Canis lupus familiaris: one gene and its partners. The protein of the gene in region 2 interacts with the protein of the main gene of each other region in a pairwise test. Links are inferred from orthologs where the notes say so. Each region holds a gene or a part of one and is shown on either strand. Other genes may lie near its edges. The genes, in order: CDA, PLEKHB2 and C15H1orf94.

Region 1 (10,123 bases), on a different chromosome or scaffold from region 2:
GGGACCATATTTGAGAATCACTGAACCAAAGAAATGTCATGTCCACGTGCTCCGAGAAATACTACACTTTTTCCACTTTCCTACCTCCCTCTGCCCACTGCACAGGCAGCGCACAATGACACATATGAATTCTATTCGAACTCAACTACAGAGTCCCGGGGTTTTAGTGTGAAGCTTATCTTTGTAATGAGCTGCTTTTGAGTGACCACAGCCTGAGGGTGGGGGTGAGGGGACAGGGTGTGGTGGGTGTAAGGAGGGCTGGAGGGACAGGAAGGCAGTTAGAGATGCCTGCTTGGACTCACCGAGAGGTGCTGTGGGGAGAGGGGTGAGGCTTGGAGAGCGGTCCTGGATAAGAAGGGTAGCCCATGGGGGAATCAATCGAGAAGCCAGGGGCTGGTCTGGGGAGGACGATGAAGGATCAGATTTAAAGGTTAAAGCCAAGACAAGCTGGATTCAAGGTGCCCAGGACACCTTGAAGTGTCTTTTTAGAAATGTGGTTTGTCCCTCCCAGAATTCATTACAGCCACATCCAGTAAAGTGGCTTTACCCCTATAGGGTGCTCAAGTCCCTCTAGGGAGAGGGGGTGAGGGAGAGAGAGCATTGTCCCAAGGACAAACTTGCCCATCTCTTGGGAGGTGTCAGTGAAGAGCGGTCTCCTCGACTCCTCCACCACCTCCCGTCTGGTATTGCACAAGCACTGGCTGCCCTGGGCTGACTCCACTGCCCCAGCCAACCCCCCCCCCCGCCCCCCACCCCCGCTGCTGCCTCATCTCCTCTGTGTCCCCCCACACACCGCAGCTCTTCCTTCCCCAATGGGCTCTTCCTCTCCCCCTCTCCCTGCAGCAATCACAGAAGGCAACTGTTGCCGTGATTAATCGTGATTAATCACCATCCTGGTGGCCCATGCTCGAGGGCCATGAGACCCTGGCCAGGGTCAAGGGGAAGTGATCGTTATGACAAGATCGTGACAGCAAGGGCGTCAGACTTGTTTTTCAACTGAATGGGGCACCAACCGCCTCTGAGGAGGGAAACTGCACAGAGGCTGGCCTTTGGTGCAGCTGGAGAAAAGTCACGGAACTGGGCAGACCCATGGGGCGCTAAACTATAAGCTCACAGCATCTAAATTCAGCTGCGCCCTCTCTGCCTCCTGATTGTCTCTAATTCACCCCCATGGTGCCCCGTCTGGTTTCCCCTGACTGTTCTAGGTCCCCTCCTCTCCAAGCCCTCCCTTCCCATCTATAGGAGACCCAGGGATTCGGGTAAATGTCTTCCATTCGTCCCCCTCTCCCAGCACCCTCTCTCTGCCCGGCTCTGCATGTGCACCCTGTGACAAGGGGCAGCACAAAGAGCATGGCCTCAGTTATCTCATTGGTACAGTTGTGTTTGACTTCGGCTTTGGCACCTCCAGCCTCCTTCTTGTGACCCCCCTCCCCCCTATGGGGAATAGATGTGGGTGTGATCCAGCCGGACCAATCACACTACTCCACCATGACAACAGTGATTGCCCAGGGGTGTGCATGTGATTGGAGATGGACCAGTCAGAGCCCTTCTCTGGAATTTTACCGTCTCCAGCTAGTGGGAACCAGTTCTTGCCTCTCTGCTTTTGAGGCTGTGAGAATGTGAACCAGAGGCTGCCTGCACTCACGTTCCCTGAGGCCTGTAGAAAGCCCACCTACGGGATAGGGGAAAGCAACAAGCACCCAGAAGGATAGAGAAAGGCATTGGGACATTGGAGTTCCTGGATCCAGCTGTCCCTGAGCTAAGATCTACCCTTGCTCATTATGGTTCTGGTTGGTTTCTGTCACTTACAACTCAAAGTGCTGACCAATGCATGTGACGCTCGTTGTCTCCCTTCATGTGGTGGCTGTGAGATCTTCCATACGAAGTGCTTAGTGAATGATCAATCACTGAATGATCAATCAATCCACTGTACCTGTTGGTCCCTGCCCGTGATGTCCTCAGCACCATTCATCTCTGCCTTCAGCTCCCCACCTAGGCCAGTGCCTCGTCATTCCCCTGGTCTACCCAGCTAACAATCTAGAACCATATTCCTTTCCTTCATTCGAGTACTGCTCACCCCAAGTCCAGTCCACTTGTCCCATAGAGTTGCCCTCAGGTCTTTCCTTCATCATCATTCCACCTGCCACTGTCCGAGTCCGAGTCACTCATTCACACATTCAACAAGCTTTAACTGAGGGCAGATTACAGGCTGGGCAATGGGCTGGCCCTGTGGACAGGTCAGCAGGCAAGACAGACATCATCTGCCTGGCACTCTTTCCTCTGTCTTGGCTTTCCTTGAGTACCTGTCAGGCTAACTGACTTTGAATTCTACTTTCATGTTACTCTTCTTTTTTGTTTTTTTTTCTTTTTTAAGATTTTATTTATTCATGAGACACACATAGAGAGAGAGAGGCAGAGACACTAACAGGCTCCACGCAGGAAGCCCAACACAGGACTCGATCCTGGGCCTCCAGGATCATGCCCTGGGCTGAAGGCGGCACTAAACCACTGAGCCACCCAGGCTGCCCTCATGTTACTCTTCTTAATAACATTCCTGGTTCTCCATTTCCTAGCTCATCAAATCTCAGTGTCAATGGTTGGCCTTCACAAGTCTTCCACAATCTGCCTCCAAATACTATCTATGTATATAATAATACCACTAATAGTAGAAGGAGAAGAAGCTGCCACCATTTGTGGCGTCCTTCCTGTGGGCAGAAACTGTGCTAATCGCTTTATAGGCATTAGCTCACGACCTGAGGATTCTATGCCTGATCAGCACAGGCACCAACTATCAGGGAGGACCCTGATGTCACGCTGGTATAGGCAAACCAGCTCTGTTCACAGCCATCCAGAAAGGTGGGTGCATGACCCTCAGTTTACAAATGTGTGAGACACATTAGGGTGAAGGGTCATGCCCAGGATCACAGCTGATAAACAGCAGCACCAGGATTCAAACCCAGGAGTCTCTAAGTCCAGAGCCTTCACCCCATCCCAGAGGGCCTCCCTAAATCCCCACTGCACACCTGGGTTCTTCCCTGCAATTTAAATAGGCCACACTCCTGCTCTCCTCATTCATTCACTCCTATAGCCATTGGGAGGCTTCCCTTTCGAACCATAACCTGTGTAAGAGGAGGGACCTCCATGGGGGCAGAGACTACGTCATTTCTGCCATTGCAATATCCCTGGTACTTGGCACATTATCTAGGATGTCATGGTGCTCAGCAAATATTTGTTAGATGAATGAACCCATGCAAAGAATCATTGGAAAGAACCAGTAACTGATTCCACAGTCAAGCCCCTGGAGTCATGGGGCAGTGTGGGGTGCAATATTGTTTGTGGCGGTGGTTAATATTTAATACTCATCTGAGCCACCAGGCCAGGCCTGAATTCCCACGAGACACACCAAGAATCTTGATTCCCTGCAGAATAGCTGACCTGGAGTCAGGGGAACACGGGGTTCGAATCCCAGCTCTGTGATCTTGGGTGTGTTTAGCTTCTATGAGCCTTAGTTTCCTTCCCTGAGATATAAAACTGCCTTGAGGGGTTATAAGGGTCAATGGACAAAATTCTTCACTATCCTTTCACATACTAGCACTCATTCAAAGTTCCTTCTCCGGCTCAAAGAGGTTGAAGACCCAGGTGATTCGTGAAACCGGACAGAACCTCAACGATGGGACACAACATGAACAGCAAGGAGAGCCCAGGAGGGCCCCCACACAAGGGGAGATGAGGGCCCCCAGCCAGCCTCACAGCTGAGCAACAGTGGGGGCAAGTGGCTCCCCACTGGAGGTTATCGATTAGATGTACACACATGAACCTCTGTCCCTTTAAATAGCTGTCATTGCCAAGTAGAGGCGGATTCTGGGCAGCAGGGCTGGGTGTCCCCATCCGTCCCCGCTGTGCCAATCCTCATCTGCCCTCCGAGTGGTGGGGAGGGGCATGGTTTCCCCGGCCACTTCCTCACCCTGCTCCCCACTGTTTTGAATGAGAATGCCTCTTAGCCTAGCAAAAACAAGTCTCAACTTTTGTTCAAGGAAGTTTTTCTATAAAACCAACAAACCAAAGAAGAGGAGCTTAGGAACAGATCAGTGCTGACTCCCATTCCCACCATCCGCACTCTCGCCCTCCCCAGGCCAGCACTCATTATTGCTGGTCACCTAAACTTCGCCAGGCTTCTTTCCCCCAAGATCCCCTGTGAGGCTGGAACTCCCGCTAACCAGTCACCCTCTGCTGGCCGTGGGCTCTTGAGTTTCTTTCCTCTCCCAGTAGGTGGTGGGAAGAAAGCAGGGTTTGGGGGACGCCAGCCTTGGGTTCCACCACCAGTGCCCCCGCGTGACCTTGAGCAAGCCGTGTCACCCTCTCTGGGCCTCAGTTTCTTTATTGAAACGTGAGCCTCACACGGAGGTGAGTGGGTGAGAGGTGAGGACTCGCTGATGCCACCCGCAGGTGCCACCAGGTGGAGGTGGGGGGGGTGGGCTCAGAAAGTATCAGCCCTCTCCCTCCCCGCTGGGACTTGTGGCCACCACCCCTTTCAGCTTCCCTCCCCGTCCCACCTCTGGCTTCCCAGTCCTCTTAAGAATTGAAAAGTCGTTGGGACGCCGGGGTGGCTCAGCGGTTAAGCGTCTGCCTTCGGCTCAGGGCGTGATCCTGGGGTCCCGGGATCGAGTCCCACATCTGCCTCTCTCTCTCTCTCTCTCTCTCTCTCTCTCTCTCTCTCTCTCTCCCCCCCCCCTTTCTGTGCCTCTCATGAATAAATAAAATATCTTAAAAAGAGAAAAGCATTGAAAAGCCGCTGCATCTGAGCAGCACCTGCACCCCCAGGTCCGGGCCGGCAGCAGGCGGGGGTGAGGGGCGTGAGGGGCGCTGCCAGCGTCCCCGGGGTGCGGGCCCGGGCACCGGGGAGCCCTTACCGGAGAAGATCCTCCCGTCCTGAGTGAGGATCGCGGCCCCCACGGGGAAGTGACTGTAGGGGCAGTAGGCGGACTTCTTGGCCTCCTGGCAGGAGAGCAGCAGCCGCTGCACGAGCTCGGGCTCCAGGGCGCTGGCGGGACGCTCGTGGGCCATGTCGGTCCCGCGGGTGGCGGAGGCGCGGAAGCCCGCTCGCTGCTGCTGCCCGGCCGGCGGCTCCACGCTGGCTCCTCCCCCGGGGCGAGCCCCTGAGCGGAGGGGGGTGTGGGGGTGGGGGTGGGGGTAGGGGGAGGAGCCGCCCCCAGCCCCACCCCCGGAGCGCCCCGTGATGTCACCGGCTCCTCTAACCCTGCTCCCTATACGCACATGACCTCATTCCATCCTCACGACAACTCTGCAAGACGCGGTGAGCGCACCCACTTTACAGATGGGGAACCTGAGGCTGCAGAGACAGGTGGTGATTAATCTCCTAAGGTCACATGGCTAATCAGCGGAAGAACTGGAAGGACGCGACTGTGCTCGTGTGCTCACCCTCTGCCCCGGGACCACTCGTGTGTGTGTCACGGTGCCCACGAGGGCGAGTGGGTCAGGGCGTGGCTGCCCTCCTCCCCCTCGTGTAGGGAGAGACTGTGCACACGTGCTCCTCAAGGAAGAGGGGGTCAGTGTGAGGTCTGGGCAGTCCAAGCCCCAAGGGTTGAAATGCCCCTCAGTTTGTTGAATGACTCTCCTTCACTGGGGGATGTGATGAGGCTGAAAGGGCAGAGCTGGGGCAGCCACTCTGGCTTCCTGAGGCAGGGAGTGTGAGACAAAGCAGTAAGACCAAATTGCTTCTTTATTTTCACCCATTCTCCTTCTGACTCCTGTCTTAACCCAGAATTTAAAAGTATCTCAGGTGGAGGGAACCTCTGAGGTGGACTACTCGGGCCTCCTCATTTTTCTGTTGGCAACATAAGCATTGGGTTAGTGGCTAAAGAAATGGGTTTGCATACCGGCACCGCCGCTTTCCACATGTGCAACCCCTGGCCGGTTCTTTGACCTCTCTGAGCTAGTTTCCTATCCCTACAGTGAGGATAGTGACCATCTCTGTTCTACTTCCTTGGATTATAGGAGAGCTTGAACTTTGGAGTTTAGTAGACTCTAGTTTGAATTCCAGTTCTTCCGCTGATTAGCCATGTGACCTTAGGAGATTAATCACCACCTGTCTCTGCAGCCTCAGGTTCCCCATCTGTAAAGTGGGTGCACTCACCGTATCTTGCAGAGTTGTCGTGAGGATCGAATGAGATCATGTGTGTATAGGGAGCACGGTTAGAGGATCCAGTGACATCATGACAGGACCGCTCTTTATGACTTCCTGCAGACTGTCACTAAGGGACTTGGCCCAGATCACATAGGAAATGCAGAACACCAGCTGGAGCGTCCAGAGGCGTCTGAATGTCTGAGACACCCCCACCCCCACCCGTAGCAAGTGGGGGTGAATCAGCGCTTCTCTGAGGGCTCGGATGGAGGGCGGGGCAGGGCAGGGGGGTTAGGTGGCACAGGGGGAGAAATGAGGCAGCGGGTCCGTATCCTGCATGCTAACATCTCGGGCAAAACAGGTGCAGCCCAGCATCTCTGTGTCCTGTAGCCTGGAGCTCTCGCCCCGTAGAGATATAGGCAAACACCCAGCTGGGCAAAGTCGGCTTCATTTTCCTCTCCCTCCCCTCCCCTCGTCCCATCAGCCCCCCCTTCTATATATCCAGCCCCCAGAGAAGCAGCTGCTTCCTTCCTGCCCGCTGTTGCAATTTGCTTCTGGTTCTACACACTTGGCATCTAGAGCAGCTTCCTGGATCTGAAGCAGGGCTGGCAGGGAAACCAGCTCTAATGTTCCCCCAGCTTCTCTATTGCTGCACCACCCAGCTACCCCAAAGGTCCATGTCCTGAGTTTCCAGGAAAGAAAACAAAGGCTGTCTGGGGAGCATGTGCACCCACTCCACATGGAAATAATTCTGAAGCTTTTGGAGCCAAGTATAATTGCAATGGGAAAAGAAATACAGGTACTGCTGGCCTGTCAAGCCTGAGACCTCCACGGGCAGTGCTGTTCCTGTCCCTGTCCCCTGCCCTATCTGGACTCACTTTTGCTAAGCCCAGCCCTACCCAGGACTGGGGCTGGACTCCTTGGCTCCATAGCATCAGGAGAACTTGGGTGGCCTCCATGAAAATTATGGCCTTGGCCCCTTCAAAGCTCTTTCCCTACACTTGATCACACATGGGGACAGTGTCCATTGCAAAGCCAGCTGAATGGGGCTGGGGAGCCAGTAGTAATTCTAGAATTCCTGACACAAGGAGCTTGGAGTGACCATCTGGAAGGGGAGAGTGGGTCTGGAAACATTTACAGAGCTAAGTTTTAGATCAATAATATTAACAACATTTTCTAAACATGCTCTAATCTCCACTCAATGTAAAATTAAGAAAAGTTAATTCCCCAGCTCAGAGAATAGGAATATGTAAGCAAGGTGTTTTGAGTGGTGGTGGAGATCCTCAGGGCCCAAAGCCTTCCCTCCAGCCCCAAGCCTTTCCTCTGTGAGGAGAACCACCCAGAGTCCTCTGTTAGAGTTCAGATACCATTAACTCACTGCTTTGTTCAATGACTAGTTACTCATAATAACAGCTAACTCTTATGAATCTCTTTACATGTGCCCAGCCCCGTGTGAAATGCATGATTTGAATCATTTATGTTATCCTCACCACAAGGTAGATGCAGGCAATACTACGTGCCATGTTTTACAGGTGGAGATGAGTAAGGGATAGGTGGGGTGAGGTAGGGAGGGATAGGTAAGGGACTACACGATCAGCCTCACCCCAAATCCCAGAAATGCTGAGATGTAAGAAAACCAGAGATAAGGAAACAAACCAGACCACCTGCCCTGGGCCTCAGAGGTGGCGTCTTTTTATGGCAGTCACATCGTGGCCACAAAGAATAACCAAACCCCAAAGAAAAAATAAGCCATTCAAGATGTTGTCAGCAGTCCTTACTCAAACCAGGACATCACAAGACTGTTAAGGCCACAAGCTCCCTGGTCAGTTCTAAGTAAAAGACTGCTGGTGGAGGCTCAGGTTGGCAACCTGGTCAGGACCCTGTCACTGCTGAGAACTTTTTCTGTACCCTTGGTTCATAAAACTGTATGGCTCTGCTCACTCTCCTTTGTCTGTGAGATTCATTCTTTGATTCCATGAGACAAGAACCTCACTCTCTTGATTCGAGGACACTTGAACTTATGGAGATCAGAAGGGAATCTCAAACATGAGTCTGTTTGCCTCCATCTGAAGGGCTATAGTCTGTCCCAGAACTCACAGAAAACTGGCATAATAGACCAACTAGGGGTGCAGGCTTCGACGTCCAACCAGTCAGTTTGAATCTTCCTTCTGCCTTTTATTACCAGCTGGGCACCTAGGCTGGTTAGCTCATCACTTGGTGCCCCTCTTTCCTCATTTATACGAGGGGCAGCTCTAGTATCCACTGTGGTGGATCATGGTGACTGGACTCATGTTCTGCTCAGATAGATGTCTCATTTCCTTCATTGTGGTTCCTTTGGAGGAGACCTACTGGTGGGTTGCCAGTCATGGTGCTTCCGCTCCCTGGTAGGTATGGGCAGTTGACACAGGGTGGCCAGCCAGGGACTTCGCTTTCCGGCTGAGTCAGCGGGAACATTGCTTTCTCCCACCATGGTTACTAAGCTAGGATGATCTGATTATTGCTGACAGCTAGCTTGCCCTCTGGGTAGAGAAAGCCTACTTGTAAAGTGAAGCCAGGTGGAAAAAAGCAGAGCTGAGAGATGGAGGGGAAAAAAACCCTGATTTTTCTCTGGGCATCTGGATTTGGCCACGAAGACACACTTCTAGACTTCCTTTCATTTTTTTTAAAAGATTTTATTTATTTATTCATGAAACACAGAGAGAGAGAGAGAGAGAGAGAGAGAGAGAGGCAGAGAGACACAAGCAGAGGGAGAAGCAGGCCCCATGCCGGGAGCCTGATGTGGGACTTGATCCCGGGACTCCAGGATCACGCCCTGGGCCAAAGGCAGGTGCTAAACCACTGAATCACTCAGGGATCCCCTAGACTTCCTTTCAATTGAACCAATAAACTCACTTCTTGCTTAAACTTGTTTAGGTTTTGTTTCTGGCAACCCCTTGGCATCTAAGCTAACATACTACTTCCTAGGATTGTTGTAAAAGATCAAGTTAGGTGCTATATGTAAAGCTCTTAGTTCAGTGACTAGCAAGTGTTAGTTCATATTATAAGAAGTACTGTGTGCCAGGCCCTGTGCAGGGCGCTGGGGAATTAGGGGTGAATAAGACCTGGAAACGGCCCTGGAGGACTTCATGCTATAGCAAAGTAGACAGATGAATCAGTGGATGGGTGTAAAACACTCTAACACACAAGTAGCTACTGGGGCTTGTGGCAAAACTGACTAAGTGTCTGGAGGGAGTGGTGGTAGGTGGGTTGGAGAAAGCTTCCTAAGCAACAGGAGTATTAAATGGTGGGTGGATGCAATAGCCAAACTATGGAAAGAGCCCAGATGTCCAGTACCAGATGAATGGAGAGTGATATGGTATATATATATATCCAATGGAATACCACTCAGTCATCAAGAAAAATGAAAGCTTGCCATTTGCAACAATGTGGATGGAACCAGCAGGTATTAAGCTAAGCAAAATAAGTCAATCAGAGAAAGACAAGTATCATATGATCTCACTCATCTGGAATTTAAGAAACAAAACAGAAGATCACAGGGGAAGGGAGGGGAAAAATAAAACAAGATGAAATCACCTCCAGCTTCAGTGGGCAGTTCCTGGACATACCTCTGGCTTCCTACATTAAGCATACCCTTGAGTGTACAGGAGTGTGCTCAGCCCTGCACAGGGTAGGCTAGAAGTGTAGGGGAGCTAACGCCTCCTAGAGGGATTAGGATCCATAATGTATCAAGAATTCCTAAAACCAGTAGGGAAATGGCAAGTATCCTGTAATATTTTCATTTATAGTAGGAAATACGTACTTGGTCTTTGACTCTGTTCTTGGCACGGAGCCCTGGAAATCCTTGGAATTTCCTAAGTGATGAGAGGTGTCTTTGATTATGTTAATGAGGTGACTTTGGGACCCTACCTGAGAATGAAGCCTGCTTGCGGGGGTGGGGAGGGTGGGGGTGGGGACTAATATCATGATTAGAGGGTTAGAGCT
Region 2 (10,123 bases):
AGAAAGCATATTATCTCATCAGCCTTAGTCTCAGCCTCCAAAGCCAGAGCATCCTAGCCTCTGGCTCCCAACCCATAAGCAATATGTAACACAATATAGACCCTCCACTTTGGGCACTACAAATAAGATACACCAAAGGCAACAAGTCCTTAAATAAGTAGCTGCTATCACCTGCTCCTTAAATGACTCACCTCACCTAAGCTAGACCACAGCTACATCTTTCTATCTAGAGTCTGTACCCTACCAAGCTCCTGAATCCTGACCACAAAGCAGAGAAGGAAGGGACATTATCCCTGAGCCTACCTGCCCCTCAGCCTTACAGAGCACTCAATGCCACTGCCTACAAGAAGTACGCTACTCATCAGCCTAGCCCAATTCCTGATCCCAGATCCTGCTAGCCTGCCCTGCCTTGAGATTACCTGGAAACAATGGGGGGGGGAGGACCACACGACTTTAAACGTCCATCTTTTCATTTTTCGCTCTGTGTTAAACGGATGTATTACATAGATATGTAAAAATCTGTATTTCTTGTCACTAAACACTGGAATTCACATGAGAGTTATTTTCAGAGAGAAAACACAATAGTAATCTTAAAATGGGAATCCAAGACAAAAGATATACCAGTAATGTCAAGATTACCCATGCCAGTGACTGCTTTGCTATTTTCAACATCAGTGATGGATTATAAGGAGCACAAACAGCTAACTCCACTCCCTCCTGAAATGCAACTAAAATGACTTAGGGGGAAAACAAGGCATAAATCACAAAGACACCAGCAGTAGAGACAAAAGTCAGGATTTGAACATGTGTTCAAGAAATATAGATTTTACACTTGTTCAAATCCTGACTCACTCACTTATAAATAACCTTGAACAAGAGGGGCAGGGGCTGGGAAATAATAAATAACCTTGGGCAAGTTACTTAACTTTTCCAAGCCTTAGTTTTTTTATCTGTACAATGAGAATACCAATACCTACTTAACAGACATTTGGACAATTGGGTAAAATAATATGTTTGGCATAATACCTGACATTTACAAAAACTCAAGAAATGGGAGCTGCTCACACAGCAATTATCACTTATATTTCCTCACTAGCCACCTGACTAAAATCTGCCCAAAACATTCCAGAAGACCGAAGAATATTAAGCTGTGAAGAATGACTTTGCAGACTTAATAAATTAAGATACCCTTGAAAGTCAAAATTTGAACACATATACACTAGAAGTGAACGCAAAAAACAAAAAACCTCCCAAGGAGCACCTGGGTGGCTCAGTCAGTTAATCGTCTGCCTTCAACTCAGGTCATCATCTTAGGGTCCTGGAATCAAACCCTGATCAGGCTCCCTGTCCAGTGGGGGGGTCTTCTTCTCCCTCTCCCTCTGCCCCCACCCACCCAAATGTGTTCTCTCTGCTGCTCTCAAATAAATGGAATCTTTTTAAGATTTTATTTATTCATTCATGAGAGGCATGGAGAAAGAGGCACAGACCTAGGCAGAAGGAGAAGCAGGCTCCCTGCAGGGAGCCCAATAAGGGACTCCACCCCAGGTCCCCGGGATCACGCCCCAAGCAGACACTCAACCACCGAGTCACCCAGGTGCCCCTGAAATTAAAAAAAAAAAAAAAAAAAAATTGTAAAAAAATTAAACCTCCCATTCTACATAACTAAATCCATCTTTTCCCCCCCCAAAGAGTTTCTTTATTTAAAAGAGAGAGAGAGAGAAAGGGAGCACAAGCAGGGGGAGGGGCAGAAGGAGAAGTAGACTCCTTGCTGAGTAGGCAGCCCAAAGCAAGGCTCAATCCTAGGCCCCTGGAATCATGACCTAAGCAAAGGCAGATGCTTAATCGACTGAGCCACCCAGGTGCCCCTCCAAATCCCTCTCTTGAGGAACAAGAATATTTCTTTGCCTTACCTTGCTATATTCCACATCACTTCGCAACTTATTTAAAATTTCACTATTTATGTCCTGGAGCAAGATCTATTGCATAAACTAAAACCCATCAGATAAAAGGCCTGCTCGTGGTCTCCAGAGAATAAAACACCAGCAAACTAGCTGCAAAATATCCACATTACTCACATGCCAGTAAATCTATAGGAAGTTTTTAAATACAAACCATATTCAACAATTCAAATTATTTTAAATGTGAACTGAAATTATCTTAAAAACACTGAATCCAGGGGTGCCTGGGTGGCTTAGTTGCTTTAGCATCCAACTCTTGGTTTCAGCTCGGGTTGTGATCTTGAGGTCATGAGATCAAGCCCCACATGGGGCTCTGCACTTAGCAGGGAGTCTGATTTTTCTCTCCCTCCCCCTCTGGCCCTTCCATACTTCATGCGTGCATGCATTCTCTAAAATAAAATAAATAGGGACACCTGGGTGGCTCAGTGGTTGAGCTTCTGCCTTCAGCTCTGGTTGTGATCCTAGGATCCAGGGATCGAGTCCCACAGAGGGAGCCTGCTTTTCCCTCTGCCTATGTCTCTGCCTCTGTGTCTCTCATGAATAAATTAAATCTTAAAACAAACAAACAAAATCTTTAAAACAAAACACTGAATCCAAAAGAGATCAATTTTTTTTTAAGATTTTACTTGACAGAAAGAGAATACAAGCACGGGGGTGGGGGGTGCAGCAGGAGAGAGAAAAACAGGCTCTCTGCTGAGCAGGGAGCCTGATGTGGGGCTTGATTCCAGGGTCCTAGGATCATGACCTGAGCTGTAGGCAGATGCTTAACAGACTGAGCCACCCAGGTGCATCCAAAAGAGATCAATTTAACAGAAAGATATTGCCTTTGGAATCTGGTAGTTCTGAGCTTTACCTTTTTACTAACATATGACTTTGAGCACAATACTAAACCTCCAAGACCCACTTTTTTTTTTTACCTATTCGACAGGACATTACTGTTATCTCATAAGGTTAGTGTGAGAATTAACTGAGATAATAAGCCCAAAGCGCCCCATAGGAGCTGCTCCAAAAGGAGAGATGGCTATAATTATTATTTTTCCTAAGAAGTGCAATTCAAGGGTGCCTGGGTGGCTCAGTCGGTTAAACGGTTGCCTCCAGGTCAGGTCATGATTCCAGGGTCCTGGGATTCAGTCCTGCATTGGGCTCCCTGCTCAGCTGGAAGCCTGCTTCTCCCTCTGCTTGTGTGCACTCTCTCCATCTCAAAAAAAGTAAATAGGGACACCCGGGTGGCTCAGCGGTTGAGCAGCTGCCTTTGGCTCAGGGTGTGGTCCCGGAGTCCGGGGATAGAGTCCCACATTGAGCTCTCTGCATGGAGCCTGCTTTATCCTCTGCCTGTGTCTGTCTCTCTGTCTCTCTCTCTCTCTCTCTCAGTGTCTCTCATGAATAGACGGATAAAACCTAGAAAGAAAAAGAAAAAGAAAAAGAGGATCTCTGGGTGGCGCAGCGGTTTAGCGCCTGCCTTTGGCCCAGGGCACGATCCTGGAGACCCTGGATTGAGTCCCACGTCGGGCTCCCGGTGCATGGAGCCTGCTTCTCCCTCTGCCTGTTGTCTCTGCCTCTCTCTCTCTCTCTCTGTGTGTGTGACTATCATAAATAAATTTAAAAAAAAATTTTTTTTTTTAATTTTTAGGGGTGCCTGGACGCTTAGTCAGTTAAGTGACTTGAGTCTTGGTTTTGGCTCAGGTCATGATCTCATGAAGTGTGAGATCAAGTCCTGCGCTGGGCTCCACACTTAGTGTTAAGTTTGCTTAAAGATTCTCTCCCTCTGCCCTTTCCCATCATGTTTGCATCTGTGTGTGCACACTCTGTCTAGACACTCTCTCAAGTCTTTAAAATAAATGAAATCTTAAAAAAAAATAGGCAATAAGAATTCTCAAGCCTCTCTAAATACAGGGGACAAGCATTGGGTAACCCATCATTAGTGGTCAGTTCATTTGTAGCATTGGCCACTGACAGGTAGCAACCATTTCTTAATAGCAAGCTTCATACAAGCACTTATCAATGAGGAGACCCACTAGACAGGCAAGAAAGTTCAACTTTCTGTCCCCATGATCAAATTCAGATGCAAACATATGACCAATAAAACATGAATAGTCCACTTTTTGTAACGTTTAATAGTTTACTCTGCAGTTTTTCATACTTACAGACACTAATACTGTTCTTTAGACATCCAGTAAGAAAGAAAAAGACAGAAGTAAGGAGAAAGAAACCAATTATTAACAGGGTAGCAAGCTGGGAAGCATAGTAAAGCTTCTAGAAGGAGTAAAAAAAAAAAAAAAAAAGTCTATCCTTCAGGAAGTAACATGACTATCACAAGAAGATTGGTATCTATTCATTCTATACCACTACCAGTCATGAACAAATTTTACAAATTCAGTCCCTGAGATTATTAGGAATTTTACTTACAGGATGTGCTAACACCATTAAAAATATGCTAGTAAAGAGCCTCTGTCAGGTTCTGGGTTCTTCTCTGCAGCCTCCTTTAGTGAGCATGTACTTCACTGTGCTGTCTGCCAGGGAGATCCTGTGACATTTTGGATTCCTGTCCTCATAAATCAGTACGTTGGGGAGAGGGGAGGGGAGTCAAGTAAAAAAATCACTAACTCAAGAAGTAAAGCCCGGGCATGCTCACTCCCAAGTACAGGCTGGCATGAACAGACGGGATGCACAATCACATATACTCCGATACTGGAGTCCCCGGCCTGCTGGACACATAATGAAGGCCACAAGTAAGCTCTGGCCCGATCAGGAGACCCAGGTACTTCCCTCCCTTTCGACATAACGGCTCTGGGCTCGGGCAGGGGCTCCACCCTGTTCTAGTCAGAGGAGACACTAAAAAAAAAAAAAAAAAAAAAAAAAGGATTCTCCAGGAGCAATGGCGCTGGGAATGAACTACGTTCCTCTAGATTTTTTTTACAGGATGACCACATTCCCTCTACCCATCCTGAAAACCAGAAACTTACTTTCGTTCACGTTAATGAGGCCTGTTCTATGCAAATTACTCTACATATAAGGTAAAAACAAGACTCTGTGCGGACGCAAAATTAAAACCCCGAGCTCCGGAGTTCCCGATCTGGCTGAGTGAAAGGTTCAAATGGGGAAGAGATAACGTAATACCACAGCCCTAAGACTACCCACTCGCTGCAAAGCCAGGAGTAGGTAAAACCCGCCAGTGCACCGTTTCAACGGCGGTCCGGGTTCCTGAAGGAGAGGGCGTTCTCGGTGCGGGCGTGGAGCGCGGTGCCCGCAGAGAAGTGGCGGGGAGGAGCTGCGGGGAGCCGCACCTGCGGGGGGGGGGGGGAGGAGCCGCACCTGCGGGGAGCGGGGGCGGCAGCAGGAGAGCTCGGGCGCGGCTGCGCAGCTCTCGGGAAGGCTCCAGAGGCGCCGGCCCCAGAAAGCCGAGAGGGAACCCGAGCCGGGAGGAGTCCGGCGCGGCTCCAGGGAGGGGGGCGGCGAGGGCCGAGGACCGTCCCCTCTGGAGCGGCCCGTCGCTGGGCGGGTCTGGGCCCGGCCGCAGCCGAGGAATCCGCGGCCCTAGAGCAGGCTCTGGAGGGCCAGGCCCGGGGAGGCGGAGGCCGCGCGAAGCTGGACTGCCCTACCCGGGGCTCCTGGGCGGCCCACGCCGGGAAGGGAGGCGAGGTGGCGGGGGTCGCCTCAGGAGGGCGCTGGGTTGGCGGCGCTGGAGGGGGCGGGGATCCCCGCGGGGAGGGCGGGGCGGGCCCTGAGGGTGCTGCCGGGGGCGGGAGGACTGGAGTACCGCGGGCGGGGGCGGGTCTGGAGGGGCCCTGCCAGAGGGGTCCGGGCCGGGCAGCTCCAGGGGAGGCTCTAGAGGAGCCAACTCGGGGATGGGGAGCAGAGGGAAGCCTGGGGCGCCCCCGCGGGGCCGACACGTTTACCTGCGGACCGCAGCGGGCACCCACGCAGGCGCTGGGGAGCGCAGGACGCCGTGCGGGGGCCGCTCCGACCGCCTCGCGCCTGCTTCCTGGCCGCCGCCCGACGTCACCCTTCTCCGCGCGCATGCGCCCTGCCCCGAGGGGCGGGCCCGGGGTGGGGGCGGGGGCGGGGCCGGGGCCGCGGCGGAGCCTGGGTGGCGGCGGAGGGAGGGGAGAGGGTGGAGGAGGGGTGGGGAGGGGAGAGGGTGGAGGGGCAAGGGGGGGTGGGGGGGAGCCGGAAGTGAGGGATGCACGAAAACTGCTCTGATCTCGGAGGCGTGTGGGAGGACGCCGGGACCGACTTCGCTAGGGAAGTCAGCACCAAAACGAAGTCTGTGGTACTAGGTCACAGCTTAGATGTAAAACAAGTATGTAAGGATCCATCCACGTGTAAGTAAGGTAATGGGGAGAAAACAGAAGTCTTCTCCATAGAAGAATTCTAATAGATCATACCCCATCCAGAGGGGCTATTAATCTCCAGCGACCCACCCCTAAATCTGCATAATTACTTCCTCCCAAAGAGTAGTGTGAGAGGGGAATGACTCCAGTGGAGAAATCTGACAAACGGCATCCAAACGTGATGAGGTTGACATCGGCCTGGTGAAGTCATGTTGATATGATGTGATGAAATGTCACTTTTCCTATGGTCTTCCTTCCAAAAATAGTATACTGCCAGTCTAACCATGAGAAAAAAAGTAGACAAATCCTAGTTGAGGGATATTCCACAAAATAGCTCATCATTACTCCGCAAAACCATCAAAGTCATGAAAAACAAGGGAACACTGAAAAGCTGTCAATGTGGGATGCAATGCGGAATCCTGGGTGGAATCCCGAAACAGAAAAAGGATGTTAGTGAAAACATTGGTAAATTCCAAATAAAGTCTTCATTTTAATTAATCATAATTACTTGTAATTTTTAGTTTTGATAATTGTACCGTGATTGTGTAAGATGTAAACATTGTTAGGGGAAACTGAGTGAAGAGCATACTAACTTTCCTGCAAATTTAAAATTATTCCAAAATAGGGGCACCTGGGCAGCCCCGTGGCCCAGCGGTTTCGCGCTGCCTTCGGCCTGGGATGTGATCCTGGAGACCCGGAATCGAGTCCCAACTCGGGCTCCCTGCATGGAGCCTGCTTCTCTCCTCTGCCTGTGTCTCTCTCTCTCTCTCTGTCTGTCGTGAATAAATAAATAAAATCTTTAAGAAAAAAAAAAAATAGGGGCACCTGGATTGCTCAGTCAGTTAAACATCTGCTTTTGGCCCAGGTCATGATCCCAGGTCTTGGGATGCAGCCCTGTGTCAGGCTCCCTGCTCAGCAGAAGCCTGCTTCTCCCTCTCCTTCTGCAGCTCCCCCTGCTTGTACTCACTCTCTTTCTCTCTCAAATAAATAAAATATTTAAAATATTAAAATAAATAAAATTATTCCAGTATAAAAAGTTTATTTAAATTTTAAAAAAATTTAAAAGACTATTTAAAAGTTTATTTAAAAAAAAAATTCCGGGATCCCTGGGTGGCGCAGTGGTTTGGTGCCTGCCTTTGGCCCAGGGCGCGATCCTGGAGACCCGGGATCGAATCCCACGTCGGGCTCCCGGTGCATGGAGCCTGCTTCTCCCTCTGCCTGTGTCTCTGCCTCTCTCTCTCTGTGTGACTATCATAAATAAATAAATAATAAAAATTTAAAAAAATAAAAAAAATAAAAAAATAAAATAAAAAAAAATTCCTTTTTTTGGAGGGAAAAAGTAGAAACGTTAGTTATCTTTACTGCTAAACGTTTAAGATGCTCTTAAGACCCTGTGGGGCCTCTAGGATCAGGGTAGGTACCCTTTATGGGAAGTAGCCTGAGGGAACTTCTCACAACCCTATTCCTAAAAGGTGAATTTTTTAAACATTTATCAAGCTGTACAGTTCAGGTTTGTTTTCTTCTCTGTGGTGAATAGCAAACATTTAACTGAATAAATTGAGAGATTAATTGATTTTATTCAATGATTCACAAATCAGGCAGCATCACATCCATCAAATAGAAAGGAGCTCCAGTGAGCTGTAGAAAAGGAAAGGTTTTTCAAGGTGAAAAAAAGGATAGGAAAAGAAAATTATTAGCAAAGAATGCACTGTTTCAGGCAAGGTTGTCTGCCTAAGGAGATCAGTAAGGGTCTATCAAGAGGATTATCTCACTATGTTTACCAGGTAATTCCATGTTGTCTGGTTAAAGATTATTCCTGGGAGATTGAAACTACAATTAGGTTAGGTATTAAATCTTGGTTTGCTAGTGTGGAATTTAGCAAAAGTATCTCCATTTTGGGACTGCTTTCTCATTTTTAACATCTGCATGTAAACTTTTTTGCACTCTCTCTCTACACGCGCACACATACACACACTTTAAAAAAATCTATAGGAAAGGCCAGTAGTTAATGGTCTTCAAAACTCCAGACTCTGATGGCAAAAGTTCACGTCTTAACCCAGCTCCTCTCTGAAAAGTAATACAGGGTGGGGAATCCTGTGATGCCTTCCAATCTAATCTTTTGCAAAATAGTGTGACTTAGTCAACAAACAGTTCAAAGATTGGAATCATCTAGAATTCTTCCTGGTCCCACCACCCAAGCATGAGCTTGAGCAAATTGCCTGACATCACTGAAGTTCCTGACCTCTTTCAGTAAGTGGTAAAGCTAGCCCTATATTCTGTGTTAGTTTTAGGTATCTTTGAAGGCTTGGATTTGGAGTGTCCAAACATACACAAACATTGTCTTTGAGTGATGGGGCTATGGATGACTTATTTCTTCTTCATATTTTTCTGTATTTTCCAAATTTTCTTCAATTAATCACTTAACTTTAAAATCACTTAGACAATAGGAAAAAATTATATATATCTATATCTAGATACATCTATCTATATCTATACATATCTATATTTTTAAAATATTTATTTATTCATGAGGGATAGAGAGAGAGAGAGAGAGGCAGAGACACAGGCAGAGGAAGAAGCAGGCTCCATGAAGGGAGTCCGACTTGGGACTCAATCCCAGGATCACACCCTGGGCTGAAGGCGGCACTAAACCGCTGAGCCACCCGGGCTGCCCTATATCTATCTATCTTTAAGCTCACAACCCTTAGATCAAGGCCTGAGCTGAGTTCAAGAGGTAGCCACTTAACCAAGTGAGCCACCCAGGTGCCCCAGAAAAAAGTAATATTTGAACCCAGTTTGGTTTATGCAGATGTTCCAGGAGTTAGAGCAGGAAATGTCTCCTAGTAAGTTTCCTGGTTTAGTAAAATTAACTTTCTTTTCTTTCTTTTTTCTTTAATTCTTTAATCTCTTTAACCCAAATTCAGGTCAAAGTAGTTCTCTTAGGCTATTAATACAGTATTTCACCATAATTGGCAAAGTTCATAAGCACTCACCAGCACTATGACTTGTGCATAGCTACAAATACTATTCAATAAATATGAATTGAAAATCATAGTGCACTATCACCAGTGACGGCTGATACGAAGAACAGCAACATTCAGATCCTAAATATTCCGGACTCCTGGGATTCCATAAGTGGAAGCAGGAAGTAAACCAAAGTCTCCTCTGGAGTGTTCTGACATGCTCCCAAATCACCTAAGTCATTGTGTGTGTGTGTGTGTGTGTGTGTGTGTGTGTGTGTATTAAGATTTAACTTAGTTATTCATGAGAAATACAGAGAGAGGCAGAGACATAGGCAGAGGGAGAAGTAGGACTCAATCCCAGGAACCCAGGATCACAATCTGAGCCAAAGGCTCAACCACTGAGCCACCCAGGTGCCCCACCTAAGTCCTTCTGAGCCCAGCACAGCCAGCTTGCTGCCACTGGGCCTAGTGCTACATTTCCCAGGATGGTTGCAGAGCTCTCTCACAAGGAACAGTGCCCAGTAAAATTGGCTTTCTGACCAAGTTTGCTGACAAGAAAAGTGCAGGAGGAAGAAGACCAACTGCAGGTAAGAACACCTAAATTCCAGCCCCACATCTGCCAATACTGAATATGTAGCCTCTGGTCTAGAATTGAAACAAGGCTTCAAGGAGCTACACTGGGACTCTGCAGTCCTCAGTTGCCTGGTTCCATGGCTCCATAGAATGTGTGGTTCAACATGTTCAAGCCAAATTATGTGTTGATTAGCCCCACTCCCTTTTTTGCCCCAATTACTAGTACTGAAATTGAAAAAAGAAAGTGTAAGTTTTTTGTGGTTAAAAAAGGAAATCTGAATAGTACATCTGGGTGTCT
Region 3 (10,082 bases), on a different chromosome or scaffold from region 2:
TCAAACCAATCGAACCCACCGTTCAAGGTGCCAATGGCGGCCTGGTCCCCGCATTCAACGGTCGCCCATTCCACGGACACCACTCCATGTGCTGGGCACCGAGACGCCTGCGTGCTGCAGGGGCACCACGACATACATTGAGCAGGACCCCAACAGGCTCTGATGTCCCCAAATCTGCTGTGTGCCAGGGACTTCTGGAAAGCTTCGCTCCCTTCGCGCGCCTATGACGACGTCTAAGTTAGAGGTTTTATTCATCTCTTCACCCTGTGTCTTGCACAATCTTGGCCCGTGGCAGGCGCTCAAAAATGAACAAAGCCTGGAAGGGCTTAGTTGATGACTTGAGTCTGTCCCTTCCTCACAGAGCAATTTCCCCAGTGCAGCTCAAGTCCTCCCCTCCCTACGCGTTGCACAAAAGCTGTTATTTAGAAACCCCGGTAGCACACATTTCAGCGTAATCAACAAAGGGACGGATATACGGCACTGCTGTGCGTCTCTTACGGGCCACGCGTCCCGTGTGTTAAGTCGTGACTCAGGAATAGCACGTCCACCATGATTCTGCAAAGCAGGTGTTCTTTGTTATCATCCTGTTTTATAGATACGACCAAGTGTTAGGAGCTAAATAGTGTCCCTCCAAATTCATATGTTGAAGCCCTAACGACCCCCCCAAAAAAACTCAAAATATGGCTCTAGGTGGAGATGGAACCTTTAAAGAGTGATTAAGGTAAAATGAGACTCTGGATTGGCTCCTAATCTGGGATGACTGGGGTCCTGATAAGAGGAGGACAGGTGCACCGAGCGAAGACCATATGAAGGTACAGGGAGAAGCCAGCCAGCCAGGAGCCCACGAGACGCCCTGCCGACACCCTGGTCTTGGAATTCCAAGCTTCCGGAACCGGGAAGAAATGCATTTCTCGGGTTTAGCCTCCCTTCCTGCGGCATCCCTAGAGAACCAACAGGCCAAGGCACAGGGTAATCTGTCGCCAGAACCCATGAACTCAGAAGTCGAGTCCGGGTAGTCTGGCTCTAGAGCCCATGTGTCTCATGACCACGCAGATGCCCCCCACGCAGTCCAAAATGGCAGCCGCGAGCCACATGCGGCATTTGAAATGTGGCCGATGTAACTAAGGAACTCAGATTTTAACTTAATTTACATTAAAATAGGATTAAAATGAAAATAGCCATATGTGGCTAGCAGCTACCATATCAGACATAGTTTTATACTATTTCGAATTACTTCGCTTATGTTTTCTGCAGAATCTTCTGGAAACCTCAGCTGTGTGCTCCAAGAAACATTCCCTATCCCTGCTGAATTTTATTTTATTTTATTTTTTTTTCAATCCCTTCCAATTTAGCCCCTGTTGCCTAGCCTCCTGCTGTGGGGGGAGAAGGAACAGGAGCGAGTGAGCTGGCTAACTTTCCAGAATCCTGTGGCCGGGGCAGGGCCGGGCTGTTGGCCTTCTGCTCTAAGCATGGGTGTTAGCCAACCAAATGCCAAGCAGCACAAACACTGAGTGACATTTTCAGAACTATTAATATTTCATCAGAAATGATCACTTTTCCTTTAAATACACTATCTTAAAAGGTTTTCTACATTCTTAACTATAATTTTATTCAGTCTAGGTCCTCAGAATTTTCCCCAAAGGAGCACATCTTCAATTTTATAATGAAAATCAAAGGCGAATGAAGCTCGGATTTCAAAATTGAGAGTCAACATTCCCAGGAACTCAGGCCTTCTTTAAAGAGCAAAGCTGTGTATTGGGCGCCGACTGTATGCCAGGTACTTTACAAATGATATAGCATTAATTCATCCAACATGTATTTGTTGAGTGCCTACTATGTGCCAGAAATGTGGTTTTCATAAGAATTTTCAACACCATTTTATAAAAAAAAAAAAAAAGGATTCTCCTTCTGTCTCATCTCCAATGTTACACCTGAGCTCCTCAAGGAGGCCTACCTGGCCATCCATCTGATGCTGCCACCTTTCCCCTCCCCCTGTCCTCCCCTATGCCTTCCCTCTACCTGTTGGGGTCCTTTGTCCAGTCTTTATAGGACAGGTGACCAGGGTCCTAAGGTTCCCCGGGTGAAGAGCCAGACCAGGGCTGTATTTCTGCTGCCTCTTTACTGGCCCACGAAGGGGACATTTTTCATTCTGCATGGACCACCCAGTTGTCAATCCAAGGCCCTTGAAAACCCACACTGGCCTAGGCTGAGGGTCGGATGCCCGTGGCTTTCCCTGGAGGCCACTCCGTGATACTTTCCCTTTTCTATGCCCAATTCGAGGCACTGGCACACGTGGTGATGGTTAGTTTCCGTCAGAGCCCTCGTTTCGTCTGTAATTAGTGCTTATTTACTTCGCTAGTGTGCGATCTTTCTCCTTACACTAGAATACAGGCCTCAGGAGAGCAGGGACCGTGCCAGTTTGCTCACCTGCATGCGTCCTCGGTGCCCGCATCTCACCTGGGGTGCTCAGCCAATCCTGGGGAATGAAGGAAGGAAGGCGCATAGGGGAGGTTAAAAGAGGGGTTGGGCCCCCCCAGCCAGGAGGTGGCCGTGGCTGGTCTCTTCCCATCCACTCTTCTCCCAGTCATCTGGCTCGCTCTCCCTTTCCTGGGTGGACCCCTGACCCCCGGGGCCGTGGAGCCCTGGGCAGGCAAAGTGCCGCATCAGTTCTGAGTTTAATGAAGCCCATCCAGGGAGAGAGGTGAGCTCACTGGGCCGCAAACTGCTAACCTAGCCCTTCTCTCTGGCCAGGAGCCCCTGACCCCACTGCCCCCCGCTCCCCCTCCACCCTGGGGACCTGCTGAACCCAGCTCAGGAGGGATCCCTAAGGCCGTGACGGTTGGGTGGGGCCTGGAGGGTGGGGGCCTGGGTGTGAATCCCAGCTCCTGTCTTCCTGGTGGGCTCTGGACCGACCCCCTCTGACCCGCAGACTGCGTTTCCTCCAGGCCCCACCGGTAACAAAGGTACTAACTTCACGAGCTTGGTGGGTTGGCTAGGACACGGGAAGCCCAGAGCTTGGCACACGGTAAGCGCCCCCCAAAAATGTCAGTTTGGGTCCACATCGGCGGTTCCGGGCAGGGCCCCCGGCAGGTGCAGAGCTTGTGCATGAGCGGCGGGCGCGACGGGGCAGGTGCAGGTGCAGGTGCCCCCGGGTCGTCCCGGCCCCGCCCCCACCTGCCCGGGGGCCTTGGGCGCCGAACCCCGAACCCAGCGCCCGCGCTCCGCTCCGAGCCGTTGCGCTTGGGCCGCAGAGGAACCCGGCGCTGGGCCCAGGGTGTGGGCGCCGGCAAAGTCGGCCCAGGCAGCGGGCCTGCGGGCAGGTGTCTGCTGGGGTAACGGGGGGGGGGGGGGGGGGCACCCCGGGGTCTGCCGTCCGGAGCCCCAGGGCGTGGGGGCGGGGTCCCTGGGAGGCCCCGGGACGGTGGGCGGGACCCCGAGGGCTGACCCCGCCCCTGCCGCGCCTAGCACCTGCCCCCGGCCCTGACCCAGCACCTGCCCCAGGCCCTGACGTAGCACCTACCCTAGGCCCTGACCTAGCACCTGCCCTGCACCCTGCCCCAGCACCTGCCCCAGGCCCTGACCCAGCACCTGCCCTGCACCCTGACCCAGCACCTGCCCCGGGCCCTGACCCAGCACCTGCCCTGCACCCTGACCCAGCACCTGCCCTGGGCCCTGACCTAGCACCTACCCTAGGCCCTGACCTAGCACCTGCCCTAGGCCCTGACCCAGCACCTGCCCTGCACCCTGACCCAGCACCTGCCCCAGGCCCTGACCCAGCACCTGCCCTGGGCCTTGGCCTAGCACCTGCCCTGGGCCCTGACCTAGCACTTGCCTGCCAGGTCATGACCTAGCACCTGCCTGCCGGTTCCTGACCTAGCACCTGCACCAGGCCTTGACCCAGCACCTGCACCAGGCCCTGACTCAGCACCTACCTGCCAGGCCGTGACCTAGCACCTGCACCGGGCCTTGACCCAGCAACTGCCCGCCGGGCCCTGGCCTAGCACCTGCGCCAGGCCCTGACCCAGCACCTGCCCACCGGGCCCTGACTTAGCACCTGCGCCGGGCCCTGGCCTAGCACCTGCCCACCAGCCCTGGACTGGGCTGAGGGCTGCAGGTGTCACGGGGGCGTGGCGACGGGACGGCGGGGGCTGCGGGGAGAGCCCGCCCTCCCCCTCCAGCTGTTCCCAGATGTCATTCTGCCCGCCCAGGCACCCGGTTCCTGAGCTCAGGGGGGTTCCACGGTTACTAAGCTACTGGTTTTTGTTGACTTTCAAATATTTTCTTCTACGGGAGAGGGGGAGGGGGGCAAAAGTCAGAAGAGAGCAAATAAAAGCAAATCAAAATAAGCTCCCCCTCCCCAAAAGAGAGCGGTGCTCCATCCTCCCCTCACACCCACCGCGAAGGCCTCTGAGCACAGCCACCTTGCTGAAGCAACAGCCACGCAGAACTGACCTGCGTCTGCCCATCCTCATCTCCCTCTCCGGTGAATGAGGGGTGGTGGTGGATGGTCCCCCTGTCTTCAAGCCCTGGGCGGACGAAGGGGCCTCCGGAAAGACAGGAGGAGGATGGCCAGTGGAAATGGGCTCCCTTCATCCTCAGCCCTGGTGGCCAAGCGCCCCTCCGCCCTGGGCCCATTCCCCAGATACATCTGGATCCACCAGGACACACCCCAAGACAGCTTAGACAAGACTTGCCACGAAATCTGGAAAAGAGTTCAAGGCCTGCCCGAGGCCTTGCAGCCCAGGACCGTGAAGGAACAGCTCTCTGCCCCGGTGGCTGGGACTCCGAGAGACAACGGGCTCAGCTTCCAAGAAGGGTGAGTGTCCCCGTCTGTGGCTGGCACCAAGGGAGGAGGGAGGAGCCGAGGTCCGACCTTCTGGGGGAATGTTCTGGCCCGTTGTTGAGTCTGGTTAAACCCTTAGGCTGTATATGCCTTCTCTCCACCTGTTGGGGTCCTTTGTCCAATCTTTATAGGGTGGGTGACCAGGATCCTGAGCTTCCCCGGTGAAGAGCCAGACCAGGGCTGTATTTCTGCTGCCTCTTGACCAGCCCACAAAGGGCTGGTGTTTTTCCCTTTGCCCAGGCCACCTAGGTGTAGATCCGAGGCCCTCGAAAACCCTCACCGGCCTAGGCTGAGGGTCGGATGCCCGTGGCTCTCCCTCCAGGCAGCTCTGCGATACGTTCCCTTTCCCGCTCCCAGAGGCTAGGCACTGTCACAGATGAGTCTGGTGGTTTTAAACCACATCTGGAATTCCCTAATACAGGGAGCAGCTGTCCCATTCAGCCTCCACAGAAGCCGCTGCAAGAGCGCACATCAAAATATTTACTGGGAAGGCATTGACATATTCAGAGGGCACAATAGAAAATTAAAGTGCGGGAGGATGGCTGTAAATAGCCCTTTTCCTAGTTGGGGAATCCTGTGCCTGGGAAACACAGAGCTCAATGTTGGGCAGATATGATTGGGGCTGGAAATTCGCAGGGAAAGGAAGGAGAGAGCGCGTCAGGAAAAGCGAGCGAAGCGCCACGGCCGTCAGTGCCACTGTGAGCCCCCAGTCATGTCTGGCATCCTCAGAGTGGGCTGCAGACGTTAATTAATCCTCCCAGGGTCCCTAGGAGGCAGGTATTGGTGTCCCCATTTTACAGATGGATTAAGTGTTAATAATTAAGTGCTAATTGAAGACTAAGTGATAATTAAGTGTTGCCTGCTCCAACACATGCTCCAGTTCAAGTCGGAGATGCCGGATGTGGGGTGGGGGGGCATCCAGGCAATCACCAACGATGTCTGGTTTCGGGGATTTCTAGAAAAGAGCTGGGAAGAAAGGCGAAGTGTGTGCAGGTGCCCCAGGTGCACTCCCTGCTGTCCCCTCTCGGGCTGCCGACAAAGGTGGAAGGCACCCGGCTGTCACTGCTCACCCTGCCCTGTGCCCAGCACCATGCGGCTGGAATGGGAATGGCCCGTCTACTGGCCGAATCCTGCCGCCAGCCCCCCAGTGGCGCTGAGCCCCCCCTCTGCTGCCCATTGCCATCTGCTCCGGGATGGAGCCCTGGCAGGGGGCCTCGGGGCTGTGCTCAGCACTCGGTGGCCAAGACGCTGATCGTTCACTTTGTGGACCAAGGGTCAGTGGCAATTTCCAGTAGATGGCACCCTCTCTGCCAGGTCACACTGAGCTAATGGACACAGGTCTGCTTCCAGTCTGCGCTTGGCCCCAAAGTGAACTGGTGCACCTTTGCCCAGTGGCTCAACTCCATCTGGCCTTGATGTCTTTTCATCTGCAAATTGAGGGTCATCTGCCCTGCCTGGTCCACCTCAGAGCTGATAATGAGGATCACAGGCCTCGGAGACAGGAGCCCCCCCCACCCCCCCACCTCCAAAGCTGCATTATGCAAAGGAGGCTGTCCTCACACGGAATTCTCAGAGCTTAGGGTTTTTTTGTTGTTGTTGTCGCTGCTGGCTTCAGTCGGGGGTTGTCACACTCTGCTCTTGGACCCTAAGGGGCTTCAGGGGCCACCCTAGAATCAAGGGGCTAGGTTGCTGGGGCACCATACCCACTTTGGCCAGAGGGCTTGCTTGGCTTTTTGGGGTTTTGTTCCCTGGAGTTTGCAGGAAAAGCAGCATTTGGAAAAACAACAACAACAAAAAAACAATGGTTTTGCCACTGAGAAAGCTCAGAAACCCCCGCCTGAGATGAACACCCCATGTCAGAAGTGTGTGGCCATCACCCAAGTAGAACACGAGGGGCTCTTGTTGAAACCCAGGCAGCCGTGACGGCGGAGCCCCGTAGCTGCTTCAGATCGTGCTGTGGGATTTAACCTCTGCGAGCTTCAGTTTCCTCATCTGCCACGTGGAGACCATCTCCACCACCGCAGTGGCCTGTTGGGATGATTCAGCGGGATATTTAAACGTCCCTGGCAATAATGGTAATAACTAGGATCCGTATAAACTCCTTGGGACAATAACGATGACGATGATGACTTTAAATTATTATGTGAATTATTATGCAATTATTATGTGAGGTTGGTACTATTTTAAACTCTCCCTCTTTTTTTTTTTTTTTTACTTTTTATTATGCAGATGTTCCCATGTATACAATAGAATAAGGTCTGTCTCCGAGGTTCATGAAGTGTCACATTTGTGCCATTCTCGGTCCGATTCCTCCCCTCCCCGGGGTTTTAATGAAACCCGTTTTGCAGAGGAGGTCATAGGCTGGGGGGTTGGGGTCTCTGCCCGGGGCCCCGGTGGTTACAGGGTGCTGGGGTTTCAGAAAGCACACCCAGGTTCACCTGAGCGACCGTGCTGTAGGGAGTGCGGGCTGTTCCCCGGAAAGTGGAAGCGGCGTTTGGGTCCTCACGCCACCCGACAGCCTCGTGGGCTGGATGGTCACACACAGATGGCGGGCTTCGAACCCAGTGAGCTGCCCGGTGTGTCTGCGGGATGGCTGCAAGCCCCTGAGATACCCCTCAGCACGTCTTCCCACTGCTTAACGTGCAGACCCGGTTTGGGTGATGTTTTCTGCTAGATAAGTAAGTTTCAGAACCCCTGTTGGCCAGAAACGTCTTGTGGACTCAATCCCTGTATATCACAAAATCCCAGATGTGTCAGGGTTGAAAGGGGTATCGGAGGCCGTCTTCTGCTGCTTGAATCCCTCAACATCCTCGCCAAGGCGTTACCCGCCCGTACATTTTCTTAGATGACAAGCTCACCACCTCCCGAGATGCGAATGCAGGCTGTCAAGGGACCGTTTCCTTCCTACATGGCATCTGTCTCTATCAAACGAACACCCATGGATCTGGATTCAGATCCACGGGCTTAGGGCTGCAAGCTACGTCAACCCCCTCGTTCTTCCAGCCGCTCTTGAGCTATTAAAGGATGGCGCCGGCGTCCTTCCTGGGATTTCTGGTTTCCGTAGCTGATCGTTGCTGGTTTCCTAAGTTTCCCTTCCCGCGCCAACCCGGTCAGCTTTCTACGCTCACTGTGGTCCCCGTGACAGCGCAGTGACCGGGACCGAGCACGGTAACCCAGGGGTGACCCCAGTCTGTGCAAACTGGATCGTCTCCGTATTCTGTGTTCATGCTAAAGCCGATGAATAGGACGCATTCGCTCTCCTCCACGAGCCAGCTTCATAGTGTGCGCACATTCTGAGCTCGTCCATTCATCCATTCATTCAGCTATTAACTCAGCAAATCCTCAATAAGCGTCAACTGTGTGCCCGGCAACGCGCTGAGAAGGAGTGGGATGGAGCCCCGGGCTGGGTGGGGCTTTCCGTCTGGGAGCTTCCTCTCAAGCTGGAGACAGAAGCAGAAAGCAAGTGAACAAGATGCTGGTGGTTCTGGAACGCGAGAAGCACTGGCGTGCTAGTTGGAGGGAACCAAACACGTGAAAAGAGACCGAATCACTTGAGGTGGCAACGAGTGCTCTGATGGAAAGAACGCGGGTCCCAGCACAGCACCCTGAGGCAGCGGCGGGGAGGGGGTCAGGGCAGGGCCCTCTGGGGAGACGTGGTCATGTGACCTGAAATTGGGGCCGGTCGGGAGAAATCCGGGGAAGGGCGACTACGAGGAGCCCGAGATCGAGGTGAGCCCGGGGAGGGAGCGCGGGACCCGGGCAGGTACCGGGGGTCGGGGGGACATGGGACAGAGCGATGGGAAGCAGGCTGGCAAGGTGGAGGCGGCCCGGGGGGTGACCATCGGAGCCCGGATGGGAATCTCCGTGGGGCGGGACCCGAGCAGAGGCCTTGGGGACGGGGCTGTAGCATGAGCGAATTGACTGGTCTTCAAAGGCCTCTCGAGCTGCGGTGTGGACAGGGCGTGCGGGCCTGCGTGAGGACGCGGGAAGACCACTGGTAGAGCAGCCAGCGCGGAGGCAGCAGGGCTCCTCCGAGGCCGTCGGCCTGCGCTGCGGGTTGGACCGTGGGCCGTTCCCTGAGATGGGGAAGAAATGGGACAAATGGGCTTTTGGGGAGAAACCGATGACTCTATCTAGTGTTCATCAAACTCCAGACTCTTACTGAGCTATGTTTTAATTAGACTTAAATTTGGGCTTAGAGAATTGTGGGAAGCCACCGCCTGACTCCTAGTCTAGGACCGAGGCCCTCTCAGACCCCCACCCTCACCCCACTGCTGACAATCCACAGCCTCGGAACAGGGCTTTGGGTCTGCAGTGACCCCCTTGCCCTGACCGGGAAGTGGCATTTGTCCATTCCTGTGTTTGCAGATTCATTCAACAAACATTCCTGGCTGCCCTCTGGGCTGCCAGGCCCTGTGCTGGGTCCCACGACACAGAGATGAGCAGTGCAGGAGCCCTTCTCTCTAAGAGCTTCACCTTAGTGGCCGGGATCGACCCAGACACAGCGGCAACGACCTTCGCCATATTGATCGTGCGCCCACTGCTTGGATGCCACAGTGGGAACGATGGGGACGGTCTCTGACCTCCGCCAACTTCCACCATGTCGAGGAAGGCAGGCCACAACATGTTACCGCGGGTGCAAGGGGGGACGCAAAGGGAGACTCGAGGTCTGGGCTTGGGGCGCAGGGAGGGCTTCCTGGAGGAGGCTGCGGGAGACCAGCTTGAAGGTGGAACGATGAGACCCCTGCCATATATGCATGCAATGAAGGGCACAGGGAGGGCCCCTTGGGCCCCAGGGTGGTGGGATTGTCACTGTGAGGGGCTGTGCGGTGGCATCTCCTGAGCTAGGTCTTGAGAAGAGAGAGAGCATCCTGCAGGTGCAGGAAAAGCCAGGCAGCTCCCCGGAGACGGCTTGTCCTGAGTGGGGGTGGACGGGGTGGAGAGGTGGCTGGGAGCTCACCGGGTGCTTCTGGGCTCTCGGGCTGCACCCTGGGGACCTCCCATTCCCGAAAGTCAGACAGGACTTGGTCTGCGGAGTCCAAAGGCTTCGGTGGGCGTCACCCCAAGCCGGACCTGAGAGGGAAGAGGAGTCTACACGAATGCATTTAAGGATTTAAGAAAAAAACGACTTCCTGAGTCACCTATTGGGTACCGGCTTTAGTAAATCCTCACCGTTCGCCCCCCTGACCCGTCCTCCAGGCCCCCGGGGCCCCCGGGGCCTGGAACCCAACGTGCCACC

What was found.
Region 1: the proteins of PLEKHB2 (region 2) and CDA interact in binary tests that used the Homo sapiens proteins (3 or more experiments, as listed by UniProt). The two-hybrid records come from large-scale screens. The link is inferred for Canis lupus familiaris from reciprocal best matches to the Homo sapiens genes PLEKHB2 and CDA.
Region 3: the proteins of PLEKHB2 (region 2) and C15H1orf94 interact in binary tests that used the Homo sapiens proteins (3 or more experiments, as listed by UniProt). The two-hybrid records come from large-scale screens. The link is inferred for Canis lupus familiaris from reciprocal best matches to the Homo sapiens genes PLEKHB2 and C1orf94.

The regions. Positions count from the first base shown.
Region 1 is NC_049223.1:77,723,128-77,733,250, forward strand, and holds the start of CDA (cytidine deaminase), read right to left. Parts: upstream 5,145-10,123; 5' UTR 5,065-5,144; coding exon 4,911-5,064; intron 1-4,910. UniProt on the Homo sapiens protein: This enzyme scavenges exogenous and endogenous cytidine and 2'-deoxycytidine for UMP synthesis.
Region 2 is NC_049240.1:22,061,695-22,071,817, reverse strand, and holds the start of PLEKHB2 (pleckstrin homology domain-containing family B member 2), read right to left. Parts: upstream 5,979-10,123; 5' UTR 5,978-5,978; coding exon 5,855-5,977; intron 1-5,854. UniProt on the Homo sapiens protein: Involved in retrograde transport of recycling endosomes.
Region 3 is NC_049236.1:7,755,714-7,765,795, reverse strand, and holds the start of C15H1orf94 (uncharacterized protein C1orf94 homolog), read left to right. Parts: upstream 1-3,214; 5' UTR 3,215-3,320; exon of another isoform or gene 3,321-3,332; intron 3,333-3,839; 5' UTR 3,840-4,487; coding exon 4,488-4,816; intron 4,817-10,082.